2 linked regions of the Elephas maximus indicus genome follow. The protein of the gene in region 1 interacts with the protein of each later gene in a pairwise test. Links are inferred from orthologs where the notes say so. Each region holds a gene or a part of one and is shown on either strand. Other genes may lie near its edges.

Region 1 (7,300 bases):
TGGTTGAGTCATCCTTCAAGGCCTATGGTTCATGGTGCAGACAGCCTTAATATTTGTCTGCCTAGGTCAGCCACCTGGGAGTTACTGGGACAGGACCCCTGACAGGGAGGGTCTGGACTCCTGGGGGAGGGTGTCTGAGGTCCCCTTTACCTGGATAGTACAGCCTTGACTGCTCCCTCCTCCTCTTGCAGAGCACATAGAGGAGGACTGCAATGAGAATGAACGTGATGGCCAGGAGGGACAGCACCGGCACCATGGCTGACATCCCACCTGGAGGACCCACATTGTCTTCCAGCTGCTTCTGGTTCTCCCCAGCCTCAACTCCCAGAGTGGTGGCTTCACTGCAGTAGGTGAGACCTCTGTCCGAGGTTGGTGCTGCTGCTGGAAGGGAGGGCTGCTGGGTGGACTGCAGAGTGGATGGCAGGTATGTCAGGGCAGGCGTGCCCAAGTCTGAAGGTGCTTCATCTGTGGGCTCAGGAACCTGAGTTCTGAGGGGAGGTAAATGCTTCTGGCGGGCCTGACTTTCCCAGAGAGGACGTCCACATTCTGGAGAGGCAAGAAAGAAGGAATCAGAGATACCAGGCACAAGGTGAAGAAGCAAATAGAAGGGTAGTGAGTCAGGGAGAACATCAAGGGGACAGGTGAAGGCCAGGAGAAGAGCGGAAAGGTGGAGGACAAAGTCAGCAAACCGCAGGACTGAACCACAAACCACTGAACCATGAACAGAATAACCAGAAACCAAGAACAAGTGTACCTTCTGAACTGGTAAGTCAGGAGACCTGGTTTGAACCTTGGCTCTGCTACAAAGTAGCTGTGAGACCTTATGCTTGTCTGTTAACCTCTCTGGAACTCATTTTTTCAGCTATAAAGTGAGGATAATTTTAGTACTAAGGCCCAAGGTAGTTGAGGGAATTAAATGAGATAAAATAGGTTTGCATAGTCAAAAGGGTAGTATGCATACATACCATTAACACTAGGTGGGATGTGGGAAACTTTAGGTGGGCCATGAAAGAACGTTTTATATTTTAATGGTTGTGTGTTTATGAGAAAGATACAACTGGCACGTCAAAATTTGTGATTTCATGGCTGTTAGTGCTTAGGACAAGTTGCTATTTAAGTTTTTCAACAGTGACTTCTATACACTCAAGATTTTTTCATTGCATTGCATATAAATTTTACCTCAAAAGAAAAAAAGGAACCGTACAATACTGAACTCTAGTTAATAATACACATGCTAAGTGTTTTTGGATGAAGTATTGTAATGCCTGCAACTAATTTTGAAATGTATCAAAAAATAAGATGAAATGATGATGGACAGATAGATAGAGGTGGAATACAACAAGTTTGTTGTTGTTAGGTGTCATCGAGTCGGTTCCAGCTCATAGCGCGACCTTATGGGACAGAATAGAACTGTCCCCGGAGGGTTTCTGAGGAACGGCTGGTGGATTTGAACTGCCAACCTTTTGGTTAGCAGCTGAGCTCTTAACGACTACACCACCAGGGCTCCAAAGCAAGTTTAGTAAAATGTTAACTGTAAAATCTAGGTAATGAATACGTGGATGTTCACTGTGCAATTGTTTCCATTTTTGCATGTGTCTTTAAATTTTCCTATTAAAGATTGGGGGAACAAAAATATTGGCTTGATTTCAAGACAAATATTAAGTGAATAATAGCACTACTGGTAGGAGGAACTGGCAAAAAAAAAAAAAAGCATGAAGTTGGTGTGAAGTTTGGAAAACAGGGACTAAAGTGAAAGTACTTTGGCCAGAATCAGGAGGTTCTGGGAATGTGAGGTGTCACAAGGCAAAGAGGTGATTCAAAGAAAACTGTAAGGTGGAGTCAACTGAGCCCTGGAGGCAGAACCTGGGGAAGAAAGGGTAAGCCACTCACCTCCACTATCAAAGCAACTCATCAAATGAAGAACCCAGGGTTTGGTACTGCCCCCACACACAGTCCGGGAATGGAGCTCGAACCTAAGGAAAAAGGACCTGGTCTCAGCTAATGGCTCCTCCCTCCCAGTTCCTTCCTCATTCCAAAGGCATGAAGTCACCACCAAGAGTAAGAGCCATTTCTGCTGGGACTGGGAAGTCCCCAGGTAGGTGGGGCAGTGAAGTGTAGGAAACTGGGGCAAACATAACCCAGAAAGGGGGCTACATGTGCCCACAAGAAGTTTATCTTTGACCATAAGAGTGTCCTAGAGGTAGCTGGTGGAAATCCTGGTGGCGTAGTGGTTAAGTGCTATTGGCTGCTAACCAAAAGGTCAGCGGTGTGAATCCACCAGCTGCTCCTTGGAAACTCTATGGGGCAGTTCTGCTGTGTCCCTGTAGGGAATCAACTCCATGGCAACAGGTTTGGTTTTTTTGGTTTTTTTTTTGGTTAGAGGCACCTGGTAGGGAGGGACTGGACAGACACTGCCCTCCAAGGGGTGGGTGAGCAGATTACCTGACAAAGAGCCGACAGCATGTGTAGCCTTTAAGGTGTTTTCGGAAATGTTCCTTCTGTTCCATTGTGGGGGTAGAAATTAAACGATCACAGTAACAACTTCCAGTGACACTGCCCTCGTTGCCATCGCCTGAGCAGGACAAAAGTGGTCACACAGGTTCCCAGGCCGAGGGGCTCTCCCAGCCCTTACTTAGCCTCCAGCCCACTGCCCCATTGCACCTCTTCCCTAGACTCCTGGGCCAGACCCCCAGGTTCAACCCACATATCACTCATCCTAAAGACTCCATCATCCTACCTGGGCGCGGGTGCCTCTGTCCGCAACCCCAGGCAACTTGGCCCTCCCCTTGCCACCTTGGGGGCTCTAGCGCACCTGACTCCCAACTTATTCAACTCAACCCCCTTGCTCCAGTACTGCCCGCATGCCCCTACCACACAGTCACACACACACACATCCCTTTCCCCGGCCCTCGACGAACCTGGCAAGGTCAGTCCAGCTATCAGGAGGAGCAGGAACACGCGGAACTCGAGTTCGAGGCCCCGACACATCGCGGCACGCGCCAAAGTTTGGGGGCGCACCGTCTGACACCTAGGCGGACTCCAGCCACGCGCGGCGTCCGTCTGGTTTCCCAATGGCTTTCTCTTCCTTCCCCTGCTTGGCCGTGGGCGCCGAGTCGCGGCTGAGAAGCGGCCAGTGGCTCCCGACGCCCCGCCGTCTGAACGGACGTGCGCTCTGTCCCTCCAAGCCCGCCGGCCTCGCGGTGGGGAAACCCCGGGGGCGGAGCGCCCCGTCCCGTGGCCCAGCGCCGCCCGGGGGCCTTCACCTGGGGGCGGCCAGGAATGTCGGAATAAACCGAAAGGAAACAGGCGGCAGGACGAGGTGGGGCAGGCTGGCAGGGGCCCGCCGGGCCGATTCGGTTAGGGGGTCCTGCTGCCCGCGCGCGCCCCAGGCCGGTCCGCGGAAGCTGGGCGATGGAGAGCGACCCGTCCCAGCCTCCTCCAGCCGCCTTCACTTCCCCGCCGGGCTGCGGGCGCCGCGGGACGCAGCGCAGTCACATGGCACGGGGCAGAGGCCGAGGCCAGCCTCCCTCCCACGCACTCACCGCTCGGGCCTGGACCCGCGGACGCCACCGCCCAGGGGCGTGGCCACCGCGGAGCGGGCTGGGGGCGCGGGGGCCCTACGTCACGGCTGCCCCCCGTGGTATTTACCTTCGAAAGTGGTGGCGGCTGCAGGTACCGGAGCAGTGGGGCGGCGGGGAGGGGCTAGCTCTACCAGGGCTCAGCGTCAAACCGAGGGGATGTCCTGCCCCATTCCCTCCTCCCATACCCTACAGACAGTCAGGCAGACCCTCCCCGGTAGGATTAGCCATCCTCATCTCCACCCTCAATTCAAACCCTACTTTTGAGGATTCGAGTCCTCGAATTTTGAGCCCCAAAATTTTGAACCCTGAGTGCTCATCCTCAACCATAATCTCCCACTTTCAAGCTTCACCCCTATTCTGGTACCTGAACTCCCATCCTCAGCCCTGAAAACCCTATTCTCAGCTCCTAGCCCTCACCCGCAGATGGCTCCCCAAGCGACTCTCAAACCCAGCCCTTCCCCCGTTCGTGACCAAGCCCCAAACTCTCTTCCCACCACCCCCTCCCTCACCATATATCCCCCTTCCTCTGCTCCGTCTGGGTCCAGGCCCTGTGCCCCGAAGACATGGAGTTTGTGTCTGGATACCGGGATGAGTTCCTTGATTTCACTGCCCTCCTCTTCGGCTGGTTCCGCAAGTTTGTGGCAGAGCGAGGGGCTGTGGGGGCCAGCCTTGAGGGTCGGGGGCGGCAGCTGGAGGCTCAGATCAGAAGACTGCCCCAGGACCCTGCCCTTTGGGTGCTCCATGTCTTGCCCAACCGTAGTGTGGGTATCAGCCTGGGGCAAGGGGCAGAGCCAGGTCCTGGGTCAGGCCTGGGGGCTGCCCGGCTCCTAGGAGAGGAGCCCCCACTTCATCTTCGAGACCTCAGCCCATATGTCAGCTTTGTCAGCCTGGAGGAAGGGGAGGAGGAGGAGGAAAATGAGGAGGAGGAGAAAGGAGAGGATGAGGGTGCAGGCTCAGAGAAGGTGGAACCAGAGGAGGCTGGGGAGCCAGCCACTACCAGCAGGGAGTCCCCCCAGGAAGCAAACCCTCCAGGGGAGCCAGAGGAGGCTGAGCAGGAGGCAGGAGGTGGTGAGGATGGTTGCGGAGAGAACAGGGCAGAGGATGAAACGGGACCCGAGAAGAGGAAGGGACAGAGAAGTGGTAAGAACTCAGGGCTCGCCCTGCCCTACCTCCTGCCCAGCCAGGCTCCCTCTTCCAGAGCCCTCTCCTACCCTCCAGAACCCAGCCAGGGGTCACAAACTGATGCCCTTCAGGAGAAGTTTTCATTGACCCACGGTGTTTTTGTTTTTTTTAATTTGAGCCAACATTTAAACATTGAAAGAATAAAAATTCAGAAATCTGGATTTATACTTTTTCAAGAGAAATGTAAAATTCTGACAGCAGGCCTACATTTCTACGAGGCAGCAAATGCAGGCACTACATAGCAGCTACCGCTTCTCCATGGGGCCTGCCCTCTCCACCTCGTCCCTTTACTCACATAGGTTACTTAACTAGCCCCTGTAGGCATTTCAGTTTGGAACTCTGACCCTGACCATCTTTGCCCTGCTGCCTTTTCCCTCTTTCTCCAGAGGCTGCCCCCCTGCACCTTTCCTGCCTCTTACTGGTGACAGATGAACATGGCACCATCTTGGGCATTGACCTACTAATGGATAGAGCTCAGGGGAGTGCAGACCGGAACTCAGGAACGGAGAACCTGGCTCCTCGGGCATACGCTCTCCTGTGCCACAGCATGGCCTGCCCCATGGGATCCGGGGACCCCCGAAAGCCTCGACAGCTTACTGTGGGAGATGCCCGGCTACACCGGTATAGAAATCTGACATCTGAGGGTGGGAGGCCTGGACTCCTGAGCCCCAGCCTGACATCATCTCTGTCCCCATCCAGAGAGCTGGAGAGCCTGGTCGCAAGGTTGGGAGTGAAGTTAGCCAAAACCCCAATGCGGACATGGGGTCCCCGGCCAGGCTTTACTTTTGCCTCCCTTCGGGCTCGAACCTGCCATGTTTGTCACAAGCACAGCTTTGAAGTGAAGCTGACACCCTGGTGAGCAGCCAGCAAAAATGGAATGAGAGGGAAGAGGACCCCAATAGTCAGGCAAACAGAAAGCAGACTGGTGGGGGGCTCAGCAGGCAGACAGAGAGAAGAGTAGGGGGATGAAACAGGGACAAAAATACAACAAACAAGCTGTTACAGACAGTATACGGACAGACCAACTGCCATATGGGCAGCTTCAGGGCAGAGGGATAACAAAGGCCCTACAGTGTAGCACTAGGTGCCAGCCACCGCATGTCTCCCAGCCCCCAGTGTAGCGCTGTCTTGTACTGTGGAGAGGCTTGTCTCCTGGCCGACTGGCGGCGATGCCCAGATGATGTGAGCCACCGATTCTGGTGCCCAAAGCTTGCAGCCTTCATGGAGCGGGCGGGAGAGCTGGCAACTCTGCCTTTTACCTACACTGCAGGTACCATCCGGAAGTCAGGATGGGGCGGGGGACCAGGTCTGTGGGACTGAGACCTGAGTACCTAGGAAAGGGAACAGAGTCCTGGTATTGAAGGCTATGTCCTGGGGGCTGGGGTCTAGATCCCTGGAATAAGGACCTGGTGCTGTGTATGGGGCTGGGGGCTAGATCCCTGGGGCTGGAGACAGGGTCTCTGGAGCTGAGGACTGAGTGCCAGGGTTCCTGAGAGCTTAGGGGACCCCAGGATAGGGATTCAAACACTTGCTCCCTTCCCAGCTCCATCACTGGTGCTGTGACCTTACACAAATCACTTTCTTTCTCTAAGCCTCCACTTCCTCATCTGCAAAACAGGGATACAAAGAAATGTTAAAACCCTAGGAATTGTTATAAGGATAACATGGGCTCAGTGCCTGGTCCACTGTAGTTCCCTGCCTAATGAGAGCCAGACTCAGACCCGGGGTCCTCAGGGGAGGCTGAGGAGAGCTAAAGCCTGGGGTCCTAGCCACCAGGTCTTCAACCCCTCCCTCCTCCTTCTCCAGAGGTGACCAGTGAAACTTTTAACAAGGAGGCCTTCCTGGCCTCTCGGGGCCTCACTCGTGGCTACTGGACCCAGCTCAGCATGCTGATTCCAGGCCCCGGAATGCCCAGACGCCCCAGGGGCCACACTCCATCCCTCAGCCTTCTTCTCAGCGGTGCGTGGGGCCTCTCTTCACGCATGGCCCCTCAGCCCATGGCCCCTCAGCCTAGAGGGAAGTTGTCCAGGTCCTAGATAACCCCTCCACACTCATACCAATCCCCTTCCCTCCACCACCTTCCAAGGCCATTACAGGCCTTTCCCCAACCCTGGAAGAAGTTGCTCCTGCCTACCCCATCCAGAATCCTCTTCCCCAGGCAAGCCCCCATTCCACTTGCTGCAGCTCCAGGCCATCTCACAGGGGACACGGCTCTTTGGAAGGAAGAGGTGGATGGGCCAGGTGGGGGGCTCACTGACACCATACCCCCCTCTTCCTTTCATTCTCTCAGGGGATCCTTACCAGCTTCTCCAGGGGGATGGGCCTACCTTGATGCCTCCTGTGCCCCCAGATCCACCCAGGAGTCTCTTTGGTGAGTTGGAGGGGCCCTGAGGGAGCTAGGGGCAGGGACAGGGGCTGGGGGGCCAGAAGCCTAGGTCCCTAAGAAAAAGGGGGCCATTATTAGTCTGAGCAGTTGGGGTCTGGGCCTGGCGCCAGGTCCCCCTGTAACCCAGTCTCCCCAGGCTCATGGCAGGATT
Region 2 (7,041 bases), on another chromosome or scaffold:
AGTAGACGTGGACCTCACCAGATGGGATTTACAGGAATCAAATTGACTACATCTGTGGAAAGAGACTATGGAAAAAATCAATATCATCAGTCAGAACAAGGCCGGGGCCAACTGCAGAACAGACCATCAATTGCTTATATGCAATTCAAGTTGAAGCTGAAGAAAATTAGAACAAGTCCACTAGAGCCAAAGTATGACCCTGAGTATATCCCACCTCAATTTAGAGACCATCTCTAGAATAGATTTGAAGGGTTGAACACTAATGACCAAAGGCTGGACAAGTTGTAGAATGACATCAAGGACATCATACATGAAGAAAACAAGAGGTCAATAAAAACACAGGAAAGAAAGAAAAGACCAAAACGGATGTCGGAAGAGACTCTGAAATTTGCTCTTGAATGTAGAGTAGTTAAAGGGAATGGAAGAAATGATGAAGTAAAAGAGCTGAACAGATTTCAAAGGGCAGCTCGAGAAGACAAAGTAAAGTATTATGATGACATGTGCAAAGACCTAGAGTTAGAAAATCAAAAGAGGAGAACACACTCGGTATTTCTCAAGCTGGAAGAACTGAAGAAAAAATTCAAACCTCAAGTTGCAGTAGTAATGGATTTTATGGACAAAATATTGAATGATGCAGGAAGTTTCAAAAGAAGATGGAGGGAAAACAGTCACTGTACCAAAAAGAATTGGTCGACGTTCAATCATTTCAGGAGGTAGCATATGATCAAGTACCAAAGGAAGAAGTCCAAGCTGCACTGAAGGCGCTGGTGAAAAACAAGGCTCCAGGAATTGACAGAATACCAGTGGAGATGTTTCAACCAACAGATGCAGCGCTGGAAGTGCTCACTTGTCTATGCCAAGAAATTTGAAAGAGAGCTTACCTGGCCAACTGACTGAAAGAGATCTATATTTATGCCTATTCCAAAGAAAGGTGATTCAACCGAATGTGGAAATTATCGAACAATATCATTTATATCACACACAAGTAAATTTTTGCTGAGGATCATTCAAAAGTGGTTACAGCAGTATATCTACAGGGAACTGCCAGAAATTCAAGCTGGATTCAGAAGAGGACAAAAAACCAGGAACACTACTGCCGATATCAGATGGATCCTGGCTGAAAGCAGAGAATACCAGAAAGATGTTTACCTGTGTTTTTTTTGATTATGCAAAGGTATTCGACTGTGTGGATCATAACAAGTCATGGATAACATTGCCAAGAATGGGAGTTTCAGAACACTTAATTGTGCTCATGAGGAACTAGATCAAGAGGTAGTCATTGGAACAGAACGGAGAGAGACCACATGGTTTAAAGTCAGGAAAGGTGCGTATCAGGGTTGTGTCCTTTCACCTCGCATATTCAATCTGTATGCTGAGCAAATAATCCAAGAAGCTGGCCTATATGAAGAAGAACGGGGCATAAGGACTGGAGTAAGACTCATTAACAACTTCCATTATACAGATGACACAACCTTGCTTACTGAAAGTTAAGAGGACTTGAAGCACTTACTGATGAAGATCAAAGACCACAGCATTCAATATGGATTACATCTCAACATAAAACCAAAAAATCCAAACCCACTGCCATTGAGTCGATTCCTGACTCATATCAACCCTATTGGACAGAGAAGAACTGCCCCATAGAGTTTCCAAGGAGTGCCTGGCAGATTCGAACTGCCGATCTCTTGGTTAGAAGCTGTAGTACTTAACCACTACACCACCAGGGTTTCCCCTCAACATAAAGGAAACAAAGATCCTCACACCTGGACCAATAAGCAGCAGCACGATAAACGGAGAATAAACTGAAGTTGTCAAGGATTTCATTTTACTTGGATCCACAATCAACATCCATGGAAGCAGCAGTCAAGAAATCAAAAGACACATTGCACTGGGCAAATCTGCAGCAAAAGACCTCTTCCAAGTGTTAAAAAGCAAAGATGTCACTTTGAGGACTAAGGTGTGCCTGACCCAAGCCATGGTGTTTTCAATTGTCTTGCATGCATGTGAAAGCTCGACAGTGAATAAGGAAGACCAAAGAAGAATTGACACCTTTGAGTTATGGTGTTGGCAAAGAATGCTGAATATACCATGGACTGCCAAAAGAACGAACAAATCTGTATTGGAAGAAGTACAGCCAGAATGCTCCTTAGAAGGGAGGGTGGTGAGACTTCATCTCACATACTTTGGACGTGAAGGACCAGTTCCTAGAGAAGGACACCGTGCTTGGTGAAGTAGAGGGTCAGTGAAAAAGAGGAAGTCTCTCAACAAGATGGATTGACACAGTGGCTGCAACGATGGGCCCAAGCATAATAACGATCATGAGGTTGGCACAGGACCGGGCAATGTTTCGTTCTGTTGTACATAGGGCCGCTATGAGTCGGAACTGACTTGATGGCACCTAACAACAATTATGACCCATTTCCACTCTTGCCTCTCAAGTCACTGAACTGAGACATGCTGGAACTTCTGCAGCCACCACTCATTTACAGACTATCAGTGGGGACAGATTTCTTTTCTAGGTGACCGATCCCGTCATTAAACAAACAAACAAAAAACCCATTGCCATTGAGCCAATTCCAACTCATAATGACCCTATAGGACAGAGTAGAACTGCCCCATAGTGTTTTCAAGGCTGCAATCTTTATGGAGGCAGACTGCCACATCTTTTCCCCGGGAGTGCCTGGTGGTTTCCAACTGCTGATCTTTCAGTTAGCAGCAGAGTGCTTAACTGCTGCACCACCAGGGCCCCTTGATCCCTTCATTGCATGTTGATTTTCCTTAATATTCTCAGAAGGTAACCTTAGCCTCCAGTTTAGGGGGTTACTATGTTGTACCCCTCCTACACTCACATCCTCTATTCCATTTCTGGGACCCTTTCTCCAGAACACCTCCCGCACACTGTAGTGCTTAGAACACATGAACTGCCCCCTCCTGCCCCTACCCCATTTAGCAGGTCATGTGGGAGCTCAGCCCCAGAAAGCCTTAGGCTGCTTCCTGGCAGAGTTTCTTTGTCTTCCAGAGCTGTAGCCCTGGCAAATCCCCCCAAGAGCCCACAGGCATCACCCACTCTCAGGGGAGAGACATGGGGACAGAGAATTTGCATGACTTGCCCCTGGACACACAGTTCTGGGAACTCACAGGAAGACAGTAGCCCTCCCTTTTCTCCCCTGGCCTAGTGCCCATGCAGTAATGGGGTAAGAATGTCTTCCCGAGAACTCAGATCCCCAAGAGAGGTCCCTGGGGCAAAGGGTTAGCAAGGCAAGGAGGGTGAGTTTTAGTTCTCAGAAATCACTGATTTCTGGCCAAGAGCCACCTAGGCTTTCCCAGCTGCTTATGAGGCCAGAACTAGGCAGCAGCCTCCTCCCTCTCCCAGGGCTCCGCCTGGCAGCAGGTCACAATGGCCCAGCTTCCCAGTCTCCGAATTGCTGGCCAGGTGGGAGGAGGTAAGGAGGGTTCAGTGGGTGGGTGTGGGGGGAGGGGGAGGTTCATGCCCAATTAAAGCCCAATTTCCCACTCTCGGAGCTCATCTTTGAGAGTCTGCTAGGGCCCCACCCCTGCCCACACCCCCACCCCTGACATTCCCTCCCAGCACTAACCCTTCCTGTCACCACATCCCTCCATGACCGGGCTCTGCTTATCCGGGCCCCAAGCCCTGGCAGGTCCGATTCCAGTCTCTCCCAGGCACCTGGATGCTGGAAAGGGGTCAGGCAGTCCAGTGGGTCCAAGTGTGTTCCTCTGGGGCCCTAGCCTGGCCCACCTCCTGGACAGTGCCCTAGGGCTGGTGGCCCTGGGGCTGGCAATTCGAGCAGTCCTTTTCACAGCTGTACCAGCGCTGCTGCTGCTGCTGCTACTGGTCAATTTCCTTGCCTTTGATCTGCTCCACGGGTAAGTGGCCAGGCGGCCTGGCAGGTGGGGAGACATGTAGGCAGGTGGACAAGTGGTCAACCTTTCTGAGCCCTGCTGCCTCCCTCTTTCTTCACAGGCCCACAGCTCCCACCCTGCTGCAGCACAGGCCTCTGGCAGGGGGCCCGAGTCAGGGAGCCGGTGAAGGTCCAGGACAGCAGGGGGCTCTGCTTCTGACACCGGTCGCAGTCATAAGACAAGTCAGTCTCCAAGATGCGCTTCTACTGCTGCTTTTGGGCCTGGGTCTGCTCCTGGGGGCCCAGGGCATGCCCCTGGCCCTGCTTGGCCTGGCTTTCTGCCTCCACCCTTGGGTCTGAACGCTTTCCCAAAACACTGCGTGCCCTCCCAAAATACACTGGCTATCCTGCTTCCTCGGGCCTCCTTTCCTTCATCTTGGGCTGGGCAGGAGGGAGGTGCCCCTTATCCCGAGCCTGAACCTCCAGGAAGCCCTGGCCCCACAATGTGGGCAGTGGACATCTAGGTCTGATCTGGGGGCCCAGCTGGGGAGAGAAGGTGAGGGATAGTATGATGAGAGACAGGGAGCCCGGGGCAGGAGGTGGCACTGATCTCAGCCTGCAGGTTGGAGGTGGGCATATCGCCCCCTCTGTGGTTCAAGAGAATGACAGTCTAGAGAGAAAGACCTGCAAGAAAGTGGGTGTGGGGCTGAATATCAGGCAGCAGGGAAGGGTCGGGGACCCAGGAAGGGCTTCCTCACAAGAAAGTATTAGACACTGCAGCCAAGGGCTCATTTGGCTCCCCTGCCTGCCTGGAGGGTCCACAGTGGCTCCTCTCTTGGCTGGACCCCACCCCGGACCCGGGTCACAATAGGGCTCCTCTGGGGAGGGTGGGGGTGGGCAAGACTGGGGCCTCGGATCTAGCTACTGGGCTGTCCTGGGCACTGCAGGAAGCAACATGACTTAGGTGGCTCTGCCCAGAGGTAAGTCCCGGGCCCCAGCTCACTGCCCTATCCCAACCACATTGGTGCCTTCCTGAGCCCCATGCCCCTACCTACCTGAGGTAGCAAGCCTCTGCAGGGCTGCTCCTGCAACTGGCCCGGCCCTCTCCCCAGGTGCACCAGCCATGATGCAGCAGCCGCGAGTGGACACAGATGCCATCGGGGCCGGTGAGGGGCTGCAGCCTGTGGCGCCCTGGTCGGCCTGGGTCTCGCGGCAGGGTTGGGCGCGCTGGTGGGCATGCCATGTGCCTCGGAGCTGGGCCCAGTGGTGGGCCACATCCAGCTGGCGGCAACCACTGCAACGTGTGCTATGGGGCCTTGAGGGGATGCTTTACCTGCTGCTGGCGCTGATGCTGTGCCACGCTCTCTTCACCACTGGCTCCCACCTGCTAAGCTCCCTGTGGCCTGTTGTGGCTGCAGCGTGGCGCCACCTGCTGCCTGCCATCCTGCTGCTGGTGCTCAGTGCCCTCCCCGCCATGCTCTTCACCGCCTCCTTCCTGCTGCTTTTCTCCACACTGCTGAGCCTTGTGGGTCTCCTTGCTTCCATGTCTCACACTGGCCACACTCAGGACTTGGACCAATAGAAGGCAACCCCATCCCGCTGCCTGTGTCTGTTGAGCCCAGGCCTAGGGCCTGAGGCCTGGGGAGAGGGAGGGCAGTGGGACCAGGACCTTATAGCCTCAGCAGGCCCCAGCACCCCAGATGCTAGCATGGGGCCGAAACTTGTGTAGTGTTTCTGGAGCTGACAGGACAGACTGGCCTGATCTCTAGTGCCTGCCTCAAGTTGATGCCTCAGGTACCTGGTGTGGGGAGACAGTGACTTTGAGAGGAGGGGATAGGGCAGAAGGCTTAAGCGGGGGCAGAGCTTGGCCAAGCCATTGAGGGTTCCCATGTGGATGTGGTGACACTACTGGGTGCCCCTTGGCAACTGGCAGCATTTTCTTGCAACTGCTCAGCTTTCTCAGCCTCAGACCTCACCTAGAACTTCCACCTGGCTACCCCTGGACTCTCCATTTTCTCCCACCAATGCTTCTTCCCACTTTCAGAGGTGCCACAGATCAGGAGAGAGCCTCACTGATAGAAGTCTAGTGGGAGAGGAACTGGCAGAAACCCCCCTGAGACCTCAACTCACCTTCTAGACCTTTCCACCCAGGCATCCCCTGTTTCCTAGACTTCCTTTTCTCCTGTTTCAGTCTACATCCCCAGGTCTGGGAAATGAGCCAACTAGGGTAGTGAGGTTCCCAGAGAGTAGCTACTCACTTGTTAAGACTCTCCAGGCCTGTTGTGGAAAAACAAATAAGTCCCATTTTACGCATCTACACAATGTGTAACCTTGGCCAATTAATTTCCTTGAGTCTCAGTGTTAAATGGGTCCCAACCCTATCATGGGGTTGTTGTGAGTCAAAGGCAATGCCTATCTGTGAAGTGCTTTGTGAAGACCAGAAAACTGTAAGATATTGTTTTGAACACTAAGAACATTCTGTAGCCTCAAAGAGTCTTTTGGGCCTGAAGGCCCTTGAAAAGCAGGTAGCTTCCCTGGGCTTTCAGAGGAATGCTCTGTTATAGATAGAATTTTGGCTCTAAGATGGTAAATGGATGGGTGTGGACAAGATACGAAAAGGCCACGTGCCATGAAATCTCAAAAGTGTGCAGATGCAAGACTCTTCTGACGGTGAAATGCTTGGGGCTGGGACTTGGTGCCAAGAGATGCTTATACAGCTGTGTGAATAGGGAAAGCTAGCTCATGGGTTCCCAAAACTGATCCAGGAAAGTTCTAAACCAAGAGGGCCTTGGAAGGTGCCATTCCTTGGTGCCCTGGATCCTGGCCATTCACTTATCATCTAACCCCTCCAAACAAAACATTGAGTGATTAGTTATTACCAAGTAAGATATATGACAGACAACCTTACCCACAGCTGAGACCCACCCACCTGACCCCCATCCCACTCCTAACTCCCACCCAATCTTTGACCCTGAAATGATTCCCAACCTCTGTCCACCCCCAATCCATTCTCCTTCTCAGCCCCAGCCCAGTCCTGACCCCCACCTTATATCTAACCTTAAAATCCCTGCTCCTGCAGCCCTAAGCCCAAAGTCCCCCTCTCCTGCTCCCTAAATACTTAAGCCCTGAGGAATAATCCCTCCAACCCTATCGAATACCTGGTTTCATCTTTGCCAAAACC

What was found.
Region 2: the proteins of CXCL16 (region 1) and TMEM239 interact in a two-hybrid assay, tested with the Homo sapiens proteins (2 studies listed by BioGRID). The two-hybrid records come from large-scale screens. The link is inferred for Elephas maximus indicus from reciprocal best matches to the Homo sapiens genes CXCL16 and TMEM239.

Annotation. Positions count from the first base shown.
Region 1 is NC_064837.1:14,391,153-14,398,452, forward strand, and holds the start of CXCL16 (C-X-C motif chemokine 16), read right to left. Parts: upstream 3,002-7,300; 5' UTR 2,989-3,001; coding exon 2,919-2,988; intron 2,573-2,918; coding exon 2,443-2,572; intron 1,974-2,442; coding exon 1,891-1,973; intron 547-1,890; coding exon 151-546; intron 1-150. Other genes in the region: ZMYND15 (zinc finger MYND domain-containing protein 15), read left to right, coding at 3,412-3,672, 4,127-4,721, 5,150-5,384, 5,463-5,618, 5,873-6,033, 6,570-6,722, 7,054-7,134, 7,277-7,300. UniProt on the Homo sapiens protein: Acts as a scavenger receptor on macrophages, which specifically binds to OxLDL (oxidized low density lipoprotein), suggesting that it may be involved in pathophysiology such as atherogenesis. Induces a strong chemotactic response. Induces calcium mobilization.
Region 2 is NC_064843.1:41,403,413-41,410,453, forward strand, and holds the start of TMEM239 (transmembrane protein 239), read left to right. Parts: upstream 1-4,972; 5' UTR 4,973-4,983; coding exon 4,984-5,442; 3' UTR 5,443-7,041. Other genes in the region: C25H20orf141 (uncharacterized protein C20orf141 homolog), read left to right, coding at 3,620-3,885, 3,983-4,220.